2 linked regions of the Callithrix jacchus genome follow. The protein of the gene in region 2 purifies or fractionates together with the protein of the main gene of each other region. This does not show direct contact. Links are inferred from orthologs where the notes say so. Each region holds a gene or a part of one and is shown on either strand. Other genes may lie near its edges. The genes, in order: CTNNA1 and CDH2.

Region 1 (6,592 bases), on a different chromosome or scaffold from region 2:
ACCCACTTAACATGGATAAAAACATGTACTGGCCAGCACTGCATAACTGAAAAACCAAATTAGCATCAAAAGTTAAAATATCCTTTTTTTTTCCTTGAGATGGACTCTCACTCAGTCGCCCAGGTTGGAGTGCAATTGGGCGATCTTGGCCCACTGCACCTACCACCTCCTAGGTTCAAGCAATTCTGTTGCCTCAGCCGCTCAAGTAACTGCGACTCCAGGCGTGCACGACCGCACCCAGCTAATCTTTGCATTTTTAGTAGAGATGGGGTTTTGCCACGTTGGCCAGGCTGGTCTCAAACTCCTGACCTCAGGTGATCCACCAGCCTTGGCCTCCCCAAGTGCTGGATTACAGGCATAAGTCATCACACCCGGCCTAAAATATCCTTTATAAATCATCTTATTCATTACACAGATAACAAAAGTTCAAACTTTCAGTCTGAGTCTCATAAGATTAAAAACTCCCGGCCAGGCACTATGGCTCATGCCTGTAATCCCAACACTTTTGCAGGCCAAGGCAAGCGCATCACCTGAGGTCAGGAGTTCGAAACCTGCCTAACCAACAGGGAGAAACCCCATCTCTACTAAAAATACAAAATTAGCCAGGCATGGTGGGGGGCACCTGTAATCCCAGCTACTCGGGAAGCTGAGGCAGGAAAATCACTTGAACCCAGGAGGCAGAGGTTGCAGTCAGCCAAGATCACGTCATTGCACTCCAACCTGGGAGACAGAGAAAGACTCCATCTCAAAAACAAAAACTCCTAAGAGCATGTTATTCATGTTATTATAGTTCATCAGCATAGACATATAATCAATGGCAAATTAACAACAGGACACACCCCACCACATAACTCCATTGCTTATTATGGCCTTTTAGGAATTACGTTTTTTTAAAATTATTTCCAGGCGAGGCGGATCATTTGAGTCCAGGATTTTAAGACCAGCCTGGGATGGGGGAGAGGGGAAGAGGGAGGGAGGGGAAAAGAGGGAGGATGGGATGAATCATAATTTATCAGGTAACAGACATATAATCAATGGCAAATTAACAATAATAGGGTCAGTGTAGTGGCTCACGCCTGTAATCCCAGCAGTTTGGGAGGCCGAGGCAGGTGGATCACCTGAGGTCAGGAATTCAAGACCAGCCTGGCCAACATGGTGAAACCTTATGTCTACTAAAAATACAAAAATTAGCTGGGTGTGGTACCAGATGCCTGTAATCCCAGCTACTCAGGAGATTGAGGCAGGAAAATCGATTGAACCCAGGAGGCAGTGGTTGCAGTGAGCCAAGATTTTGCCACTGTACTATAGCCTGGGCAACAGAGACTCTGTCTCAAAAACAGTAATAATAACAATCACAAGCAACACCACGTAACTTCATTGCTTACTATGACTTTTTAGGAATTAATTTTTTTTTCCTTAGGAATTACATTTTTTAAAAATTATATCCAGGTGAGGCAGGGGGCTCATTTGAGCCCAGGATTTTGAGACCAGACTGGGTCTGGTGACCATGTGCATCAGGAGACACATCTGCACTAAAATAAAAGCTCAGGCTTTTAGTATATAAGGCTGAGAAGAGGCTGCACAGAGCAGTGATTCTCATCTTGGAAGAAGGCACCTCTCATCTCTAAGCCACTGTATGAACTAAGTATCACTGATGGGAATGAAGGTGATGCCACATCAGTGGTGCAGAGAACAATGAGACATTGGAAAGAACCCCTGGTATGAGAGGAAAGAGTGATGGCAAGGAAAAAAAAGAGAAACTGAGATGAGCCAAAAAGGAAAAGAAAATCAGGAGAGTGATACCACAATTCCTCAATTCCTATGCTCTTTTATACTTCTCATGACTTTCTCCCTTCATTTAAAAAAACGTAACTCATGTTTCATCCATATCAAATGCCATCACCTCCTGGAAGCCTTTCTGGACTTATTCAAATAAAACTTATTGGCTGGCCCCTCTCAGTGCCTCCACAAGTTTCTTTCGTTAGCATTAGGTAAGATTCGATTCACACAGTAGCTAAAACAGTTTCATTAGTACTATTATACTAACGAAACTATTAGTTTAACAGAGAGACTGGCACTTACTGCAGTCTCTCTGTACTATACCAGGTGTGTGTGCCTCCTCTATTATACTGTGAACTCTAAAGCAGATTAAAAAATTATTCTTTAACTGAATAAAAATCCAGATGGGGCCAAGTGCCCTGGCTCAGGCCTGTAATCACAACACTTTGGTAGACTGAGGCAAAAGGATCACTTAAGCCCAGGATTTCGAGACCAATGTGGCCAAGACAGAGACCCCATCTCTACCAAAAATACAAAAATTAGCCGAGTGTGGTGGCGCGTGCCTGTACTCTCAGCTACATGGAAAGCTGAGGTGGGAGGATCACTTGAGCCCAGGAGACAGAGGCCACAGTGAGCTGTGATCGTGCCACTGCACTTCAACCCAGGCAACGGACTGAGACCTTTCTTTAAAAAAAAAAAAAAGTCTGTTCGAAAGTCCAGATGGAGCTGGGCCCGGTGGCTCACTCCTGTAATCCCAACACTTTGGGAGGCCGAGGCAGGCGGATCACGAGGTCAAGAGATCGAGACCATCCTGGCCAACATGGTGAAACCCCGTTTCTACTAAAAACACAAAGATTAGCTGGGCATGTGGCATGCGCCTGTAGTCCCAGCTACTCCGGAGGCTGAGGCAGGAGAACAGCTTGAACCTGGGAGGCAGAGGTTGCAGTGAACCAACATCGCACCACTGCACTCCAGCCAGGTGCCTGGCGACGAAGCAAGACTCTGTCTCAAAAAAAAAAAAAGTCCAGATGATAAATAATAAGGCAGAAACTATGGATAATTCCTAGACTCATTCCTCCTGTAAAACAAAATAACACATCCTAATTAATTTGATTTACAAACTCTGTTCCTTAAAGTAACACCCACCTGTCCGGTCTTTAAAAAATCACTTCTAACTAAACACAAATAACCACTCCACAAAATGCCTATCCTGTCCCAACAATACAATGATGTAAGCATTTCCTTCATCATAAATATAAAATGCCCCGAATTTAGTTGGAGACTTAACATATCTCGCTCTTTTCCAAATAACTGTAAATTATGTACAGAACACAGGCACCAAAAAAAAAAAATGTTGACCAAGATGCAGGAAGACATAAGAGGGAGTCAACCCTGGAACTGGGCCAACCGCTGCCTGCATTACTGGGAAGCCACTGCAGCCAAGCAAAGGTCAGGCATTCATTCAGGCAACATTTTTTCCAACAAGTGCTTCACATTCGCACGCACATACCCGCTCCTTTAAAAGTCAACAATTAAAAAAAAAAAAAATCTCGAATGCCACTCCCGAAAACTAGGGCCGAAAGCGAAGTGCGTCCAACCGACAAGAAACCTAGGAAGGCTGAGTAATCCCTGAGTCCAGGTGGACGGTCACGCCAAAAGTCCACACGGGTGTGGCACGCTGTACCGAGGATGTCTGGGAGATGCCCGGGCTCTGGCCTCCGGCCTCCAGCTTCGCGGAGCCAGCGTCCGCGCCGCCGCCCCACGGGGAAGTCTCGGCGGCTGGGGAGGGGGAGGGGGCAGGGAAGCCTCAGAACCAGACGACAATCACTTCCCCGGAAAGCGGCTCCCAGACGCGCCGCCCCAGGGAAGGAAGGCGGCCGAGGGGCCCGGTGCAGGGCAGGCGCGCGCGCGCGCGCGGAGGCCGCGGCAACAAAGTTTGGAAACCGCGAGAAAACTTTTCCAAGAGGAAACGCGGCGGCGGCACTGGGTATGTGGCTTCTCCTCCCCAGCCGCCGCGGCCCCCCGACACCCCGAGCGCCGGGAAGTGCCGGCCGCGCCTGCCCGGGTCCCAGGCTCGGACCCCGCGGGGAAAGGGGCAGCCGGCCCGACGCGGGACCCACGCCCGCCCGGAGCCCAATTCCCGGCGACGTCGACGAAGAGACCGCGCCCCGCCCGCCCACCGTCCCGCCGCTTGCGGGGCCCAGCTTGGGACGGCCCGGCCCAAGGACCCTCTCGGCCCGGCCAGAGAGCCCGCGCCCGCGGGGAGGGAGGTGCAAAGTTACCTGCAGCGAGTAGGGCGAGCGCTGGATACCGGAGGCCCGAAGCCGACGGCTGCTGCTTTGTCTCCCTACAGTCCAGCTCCGAGAAGGAAATGGGCCGCCCCGCGCCCCTGCCCCCGCCCCCGCGCGGCCCCCGCCCCGCCCGCCCTTCCCGGCACCTCCCTCCGGCCCGCTCTTCCCGGCGCCTCCCGCTGCTGACCCGCCCGCTCTTCCCCGCCGTTACGGTCTCCGCTTAGGGCCCCCACCGCGAAGAGTCTGGCGACGCTGGCCCGGGACCCCCGGGGGACCTCTTCCTCTCCGCCGCCCACCTCAGAATTCCTTCCTTCCCGACCCCTGGTGGGAGCTTAGGCCAGGAGTGACCCGGAGAGGAAGGAGGAGCGATAACTCCTGGAACAGCCCGCGGGCTGGGAGGACGGGGGAGGGCAGGTGAGTCACGGCTCCGAGCACAGGTGAGGCTCCGGGCGCGGCCCCCTACACCGGCCGAGTCCCAGAGATGCGCCGCTGCGACGCGGGGTCCTGGGCACGCGCCCCGCAAGAGTGTCACAGATGTCCCGGAGCCACAGGCTCCTAGAAAAGTGATCTAAGCCCACTCTCTTGTTTACAGAAGAGGAAGCGGAGGCCAAGGAAAGGCCCCACTGCTTCGGGACAGAGTGAAACTAGGATGTGACTCTAACGACCTTTCATAATGTGAGGTGGAAGCGCCTCGAGAATTCACGTAACCCGTCCCCTCACTCCACAGATGCGGACACCCGAAGCCCTCTTAATTAAGGACATTTCTTTTTTCTTCTTCTTTTTGAGACGGAGACTCACTGTCGCGAAGCCTGGAGTGCAGTGGCGCGATCTCGGCTCACTGCAACTTCTGCCTCACAGGTTCAGGCGATACTCTTGTCTCAGCCTCCAGAGTAGCTGGGACTACCGGCGCTTGCCACCACGCCCGGCTAATTTTTTTGTGTTTTTAGTAGGGACGGGGTTTCACGTTGTTGGCCAAGTCTCGATCTGCTGACCTCGTGATCCGCCCGCCTCGGCCTCCCAAAGTGCTGGGATTACAGGAATGAGCCACCGCGCCCGGCTTTTTTCTTTTTTTTTTTTTTCTCTTTGTTTTTAAGGCAGGATCTTCCTCTGTCTCCTAGGCTGGTGTGCAGTGTCGCGATCACCGCTCACTGCAACCTCAAATTACTGGACAACCGACCCTCCCCACCTCAGCCTCCGGAGTAACTGGAACTGCACACTCACACTGGTCTCAAACTCATGGACTCAATATATCCTCCTCAGCCTCCCAAAGTGCTGGGATTACAGGCGTGAGCCACCTTGCGGGGAGGACATTTACAAAAGAAACACAAAAGAGAGAGGCACCACAGCAGATGTCCCTTATTGAGCTTGTTCCCGTCCCACCCCAAGAGCTCATCCTCCCCTCCCAGCTTGTTCCCCCCCTCCGAGCTTGTTCCCCCCACCACCACCACCACCAAATCTGAGGGATCTGACTTGTATCTCTATCCCTCCAGTCATTTAGGGAACTTTATTCTCACCTTTTCTTATCTTCATGGTGAATACTCCAAAAAACAAAAAATTACAAAGCAAAATAACACAAAAAACAAAAAATACTACATGTTCCCTATCAGCCTCGTATAGAAAACTCTAATGCTGTTTCCCCTGCTCATGGGATAATGAACAAGATGGATTTCATTATTGGCATATAAATCTGAAATAATGCAAGACAACAATGTCCACTGCTGGCCTTATGCTGAACAGAGAGCAGAGTGCTAGGGAGGCTTGCCCTCACCATGTTTACCCTTTACTCCTTACATCTCCCTCTCCCCCAAGGGAATCCAAACTGCTGGAAAGCAGGAGCTGTACCTCCTACAGCTTCCAGCACATCACCCATCCCCTAAGGAGTGCCCAGTGAACATTTGTGGGTGAAGGTGCCACTGTAATTCAAAGCACTGTGGGCCTGTGCTAGTTAAGAGATGCTGACAAAGGGCAACAGGACTATGAAGTGGGGAGAGAACCACTTTTAAGCAAAAGAGGCAGCGGGACCCCTTGGCTCCCGCCTGTAATCCCAGCACTTTGGTAGGCCGAGGCGGGCAGATCACAAGGTCAAGAGATTGAGACCATCCTGGCCAACATGGTGAAACCCTGTTTCTACTAAAAATACAAAAATTAGGTGGGCATGGTGGTGGGCACCTGTAGTCCCAGCTACTTGGGAGGCTGAGACAGAATTGCTTGAACCCAGGAGGTGGAGGTTACAGTGAGCTGAGATGGTGCCACTGCACTCTAGCCTGGTGACACAGCAAGACTCCGTCTCAAAAAAAAAAAAAAAAAAGGCTGGGTACAGTGGCTCATGTAAGTAATCCCCAGCACTTTAGGAGGCCAAGGTGGGTGGATCATCTGAGCTCAGGAGACTAACCTGAGCAACATGACAGAACCCCATCTCTACAAAACAAAAACAAAAAAATAGTTGGACGTGGTGGCACCTACCTGTAGTCCCAGCCACTTGGGAGGCTAAGGTGGCAGAATCACTCGAGCTTGGGAGTTCA
Region 2 (5,798 bases):
ACAATTTTCAAATGCAAAATATTTTACATTATAAAAATATATCAATACTTTCGATAAGAATAATATCAATGAACTTTTCTAAATACTTATACTAAAATTTAATGAGATTACTAGCTATAGAAAATCTGTATAGTGATGGCCAAAGAAATATTTCTTCTCCTTTCCAGTATGGGACCTCCTGTTTAATATTTAGTGTTGGAACTTTGTAGGAATAGCTTTTGCCATTTTACATCAAAGCATAGCATTAGTACCTGTTTTATGCTTTTTTTTTTTGCCTTAAATAAACAGTAGTTTTCTTCTACAGTAGAACTGAAAGTAATATATCTTGAATCATTATGTTGAGATCCAAAGAGCCATAAAATTATATGTATGTATGTTGGGTGTGAGTTACAACCAGATTTATTTATTCACCAAGGAAGATTGTTTTCTAATTGAAAGGGCTTTTGATAAGAGAGAGAAGTGACCTGTTAAATGTATGTAGCTGTGATGCTTTGAAAGTGCACTTTACTTTAAGTGACAAGGCTAGATTTGGAGCCCCAACTATGTTCCTTAATGATTAGGCAAGCTCTTACATGCCGTATGCCTTAGTTTCATTATTGATAAATTCTTTCGCTACTTAAACTTATTCTATATAGTTGTTATAAAAGTATAATAAATATTAAATGTGATCATAAATTTAAAATCCCTCAAACTTACTGTTGAATATCATAGTGGTCATAGTGGTGTTATAACAGCCACTATACCCCTCCAGTTCAGCTCTCCCTGCTCTTAGAACTATCATGTTCCTCATAGAAGTTGATAGAGATTTCCCCTTATTCCCTCCCCAGGATTGTGTATGTATGTGTACCTTCCTAGTTACGTGATCTTTGACAGGTCACTTAAATCTCTGGTCTTCATTGTATAGCATTCTTTATAAAATATTCATAAATATTATATATATATATGCATGTGTGAATATTTACAATATAGCAGAAGCAAAACACCAGACTAAATTATCACATGAAGTGGTGGAGACAGCATTTTATTATAGTGGAATGAGAATGGGTTTGAGGTCAGGCCGACCCATCTTTAGTAACAACTCCACCACTTAAAGAGTGTGTGGCCATGAGCAGTTTACAGACTTAGGTTCATCTGTTTAAACCTGTGTCATAGGATTACGATGAAAATGCACGTAGAGCTGCCTAATATGATCTAAAAGCAAGTAGTTGGTTAGTAAATACCATTTCTCTTCTGCATGATGTTTCTGAGTTGAGGTCTGTGGTTCTGTATCACTTGTCTGTAGACTGGTTCAATAAGTCATAGCTGTGTTGGAGTGTTAAAAAGCATTATTACGTTCTTTCATGCACGTGTCTTGGTTCTCCATAAAAAGAGTAGAGTTCACAGGATTATGAGCCCTGTGTTTGCATCCCCAACATTCCTCACAGTGCCTGGAGCAGCATGGTCTGTGCAAGCCCTGACTAATGAACAGAAGGGGCAGGGAAGGTGTGAGATTCCATAGCAGGGGCATTCTTCATCACCTTGCTCAGACTCTGCAGAGCAGCAGTGGCAGCTCAGGGTCATTCTAGGAGGGAAGCAAGAAGTGGCTTTGTTTTGGAAATGGTCTGCCCAGATGCCTCAGCAACTATATTTTTCCAAGGTTACACAGTCATAAGGGCCTGAATTTCACCATAATTGAGGTTCATTGGAGAGAACTGTTCAGCATCGGTTTGTGATTTTTCTCTCTTTTAAGGAATTCCTCCTATGAGTGGAACAGGAACGCTGCAGATCTATTTACTTGATATTAATGACAATGCCCCTCAAGTGTTACCTCAAGAGGCAGAGACTTGCGAAACTCCAGACCCCAATTCAATTAACATTACAGCACTTGATTATGACATTGATCCAAATGCTGGACCATTTGCTTTTGATCTTCCTTTATCTCCAGTGAATATTAAGAGAAATTGGACCATCACTCGGCTTAATGGTAAGAACAGGTTAATTATTTGAATATATGTGCAGTTGAGAGATTTTGAAGCCTGGCATGAAAAGTTAATTTTTATGTGCTCTGTAATCTTCTCATTATACATATTTTTAAAGCTGCTTAAAGTTTAAGTAAGATTAAGTTTAAAGGCCTTTAAAGCCAAAAAAGTATTTTTAATGCATCATAGTTGTAATCCACTTTATGTGTACTCTTAGGTAGTAAATACATTCTGAACAATGCTGTGTTTTTTATAGCTTTAAGTATTGCCTGTCAAACTATCTTTTTCCTTTTTCATATAGGGGACTTTGCTCAGCTTAATTTAAAGATAAAGTTTCTTGAAGCTGGTATCTATGAAGTTCCCATCATAATCACAGATTCGGGTAATCCTCCCAAATCAAATATTTCCATCTTGCGCGTGAAGGTTTGCCAGTGTGACTCCAATGGGGACTGCACAGATGTGGACAGGATTGTGGGTGCAGGGCTTGGCACCGGTGCCATCATTGCCATCCTGCTCTGCATCATCATCCTGCTTAGTGAGTACTTTTATTGTCTTTTAGATTTCAATTCTCTTGGCTTCTAGGGTGTTCAGCAAAGTCACTTGTTGCTATTGCCTGGCAAAGTAGTCTCACAACCCTTTGACCTCTCAGCATTTCCTTGCCAATCATATATGGTCGGCCGAGTCCACTTTAGAATGAAAAAATCCCCGAGCGTTGTTTCAAGCACTTGAGGTTTGCAACAAGCCTCCTCAGCATGCCTCTTCCGTGCCCTCTTACTCTTTCTGATGCTGATTGCTTAGGAAACTGTAGTAAACTCTTTTCATAGAAAAACATTACACAATCCCAAGTTTGAGCACGATTCTTATGATTTGAGTATGAAATTATGGCACATAGTTGATGATTTGGGAAAATAAATATATTGCTTTCCTTTACCTTCCTTCATATAAAGCACAGTCAGCAGTGCTCCAGTCATGAGAAGATCAAGGTATTTGTTTCTGAAGGGCTGTGTAAAAGTGAGAGATTGCACTTCATATACAGCACATTTGATAATAGAAATGATTACACAGCTCAATAAATTGTCTTTAGAGTAAGTGTAGATTAAGGAATTGCTTCTTTTTAAGGTACTTTGCAATCTTTGGTTCAGTGGAATGCAAGAAATTAACCACTGGAAAGTACTTTAGGAACCACTTCTAAGCTTACAGGTTGAAAGAATAAATTGCATGGGCCCTGTGTTTTATTGTGAAATAGCAGCAGGACTTAGTTTATTGTGCGGTCATGCTATGCACCAATCACTTTCTTGAAAATGTTGGCTATTTCTTTTATGTTTTCTCCGTTTACAAGTGTTCTGGTAATTTAGAATTCTATCACTTTATTCTAAGCAATTACTATAGAAGTCGGAGCCTTTTTTACTTCCTATATGGAGACTACTTTGGCTATAATTTGCAACCTGCATGCTATACTAATAATCCGCTTGCTAGATTTAGCCCTGGAACAATAGCAAATGAGATCATGTTATCTGGCTCTAAAAGGAGGATATTTGCTTTTATGGCCAATAATAAAAATGTACTCCAATAGGAGTCATTAAATCTTTTGCTTCAGGATGTATACTGATACTCCCAGATTTTAGACAGAATTTGTTCCTAGATGTGCACTTAGGGATATGTTTCCATTTCAGCTGAAATGTGGCATAGATGCCAGTCTTATCCAGAAAGACTTAGGTATGACAGATTATGGCAATGAAGAAGTAACTGGCATTTTGAAGGAAACTGAATTGGTGCTGATTTTAACATCAAATCCCTGGAAAATGTATGGTTCTAGACCTGGCACAAAGTGTAAAACATTAAAGTCGAATGTTATTTCAGTGTTTAAACGAATCCCCTAGGCTTCTTAGCTGAAGCATGCGCCAGCCTCTGGGAATCAAAACCTCAAGATCCAGTTCCTGACTTAGTTCCAATTTACTACCAGGTCATCTGGGCAAGCTTTGTCTTCCTGGAGAAGTGATGTTTTCTGTGAATTTGGGATTGTAATAATGACTGACCAACCTAGATAACACAGCAAGTAACAACTTGTTGCTGTTTGTGTCTCTAGAATGTACAAATCACTATTAAGGGCAACTATCCTCTAGCAAGCCAAAAGGAAAATAGAAAAAGTTACTGTCCCTGTATGTGGATGGTGAAACTGAACAAGGATGATCTACTTCTCAAGTGAGTGTGCAGGACACTAGGGATGGGAGCCCAGGCCTTCGCACTCTTAACTCCAGTGCTTCGGCCTGCTTTGTCTTGTCTCTCTTTAAGGTCAGAAATTGATAGTAGAGTGAAAGATGCATTACAACCTTTTAGCCCATTTAAGTATAAATTATCATCACTGAATACAGTGGCTAGATAGGCCAGGCTTTAAAAATGGCAATATTATGTATTTTTACTATTTTTCTCCCTAGTCCTTGTGCTGATGTTTGTGGTATGGATGAAACGCCGGGATAAAGAACGCCAGGCCAAACAACTCTTAATTGATCCAGAAGATGATGTAAGAGACAATATTTTAAAATATGACGAAGAAGGTGGAGGAGAAGAAGACCAGGTGAGCAATGCTTTAAATCTTTAAACGAAAATTTTATGGTCATATAAATATAATAGTGAGAAGTGTTAATACTTCAGTGAGAAAATTGTATCAGGTTTCCCTCCTGTTATCAGTCATTTGGTGAATTGTTTCCTATGTGTGTTGACTATTTCTCAAATTTTTTTCAAAGTACCAAACGTCATTGTGTTTATTTTGTAAAAAAAAAAAATAAAAATTAACATTTGTTTCAAAGGATTTAAACCCAATTCTGGTTAAATCTGTGTAATGATAAATCTATTTTTCTTTATAGTTTCTCTTCATTAGATATCCAAAATATAAATAAAGTGTCTTCTACTTTGGGATCTAGATATTTATATGTATGGTAGAAAAACCACTAAGACTATTTATTCCACAAGTATTTACCAAATAAATTCAGTATTTTAATCCTGAAGATACCTCCATGGGCAGAGTTAACAAATATCTACCCTTAAGAGTCTTACATTCTTGTGAAATATTTGAAGTTAGAGTCAACATCTAGTTCATCTTTATATTTATAGTGTCTGTCATGGTTTCTGGCTCCAAGTGATTGTTCAGTAGATGTCAGAATCCCCTTCTGGCCATTAAATAATATGAGCTTATATCACTATGCTCATATGGTTCTGCATATCTCTTCAAGGATGAGAATGACCATAAATGAGAAATAAAGATCTCTCTCTGCTCTGAAGCAACATTTTCAATGTTATCATAGCAAACATGTATAAGCTCTATACTACATGGCAGGCATTCTGTTAAGTACATTAGGTGCCACTATCTCTTAATCTTTGAAACTTGTGATATTAGTACTGTGACCATCTCTACTTCTGTGGAATAGAACCAAGCTTAAGGATGGTTACATTCTACAAAATCATGCACCTAGGAAGTGATAGATGCAGAGTTTGTATGCAGGTCTCTGAATTCACAGCCTAACATCACTATTCTGATATAGTTTCTCTTGAAATTATATGGGTATATTAATGTAATCCCTGAGAAATCACTGTGACAGGTAATTTTTGGGTACATTTGATAGTCATCTAATTTCTACTGGCTGATGCAAATGTGGAGGATAATAGTCTGAAGGAGAACCCAGGATTCTTTGTTTTTTGCATCAGTATCAGTAAGTTAAAATGTTCTATCTTAAGTATATATGCAGACATTGTTGATAAGGCTGTTATTTGAATAAAAGCAAATTTTCATGAACATACTTTTCCACTGCTTCATTCCTTTGAGAAAATGATACATCATTTTTC

The links.
Region 1: the proteins of CDH2 (region 2) and CTNNA1 purify together in Homo sapiens (affinity purification with mass spectrometry; 4 studies listed by BioGRID and IntAct, with this or other methods). This does not show direct contact. The link is inferred for Callithrix jacchus from reciprocal best matches to the Homo sapiens genes CDH2 and CTNNA1.

What each region holds. Positions count from the first base shown.
Region 1 is NC_133503.1:37,149,434-37,156,025, reverse strand, and holds the start of CTNNA1 (catenin alpha-1), read right to left. Parts: upstream 4,142-6,592; 5' UTR 4,062-4,141; intron 3,554-4,061; exon of another isoform or gene 3,290-3,553; intron 1-3,289. UniProt on the Homo sapiens protein: Associates with the cytoplasmic domain of a variety of cadherins. The association of catenins to cadherins produces a complex which is linked to the actin filament network, and which seems to be of primary importance for cadherins cell-adhesion properties.
Region 2 is NC_133514.1:71,232,805-71,238,602, reverse strand, and holds part of CDH2 (cadherin-2), read left to right. Parts: intron 1-1,729; coding exon 1,730-1,963; intron 1,964-2,259; coding exon 2,260-2,493; intron 2,494-4,393; coding exon 4,394-4,533; intron 4,534-5,798. UniProt on the Homo sapiens protein: Calcium-dependent cell adhesion protein; preferentially mediates homotypic cell-cell adhesion by dimerization with a CDH2 chain from another cell. Cadherins may thus contribute to the sorting of heterogeneous cell types.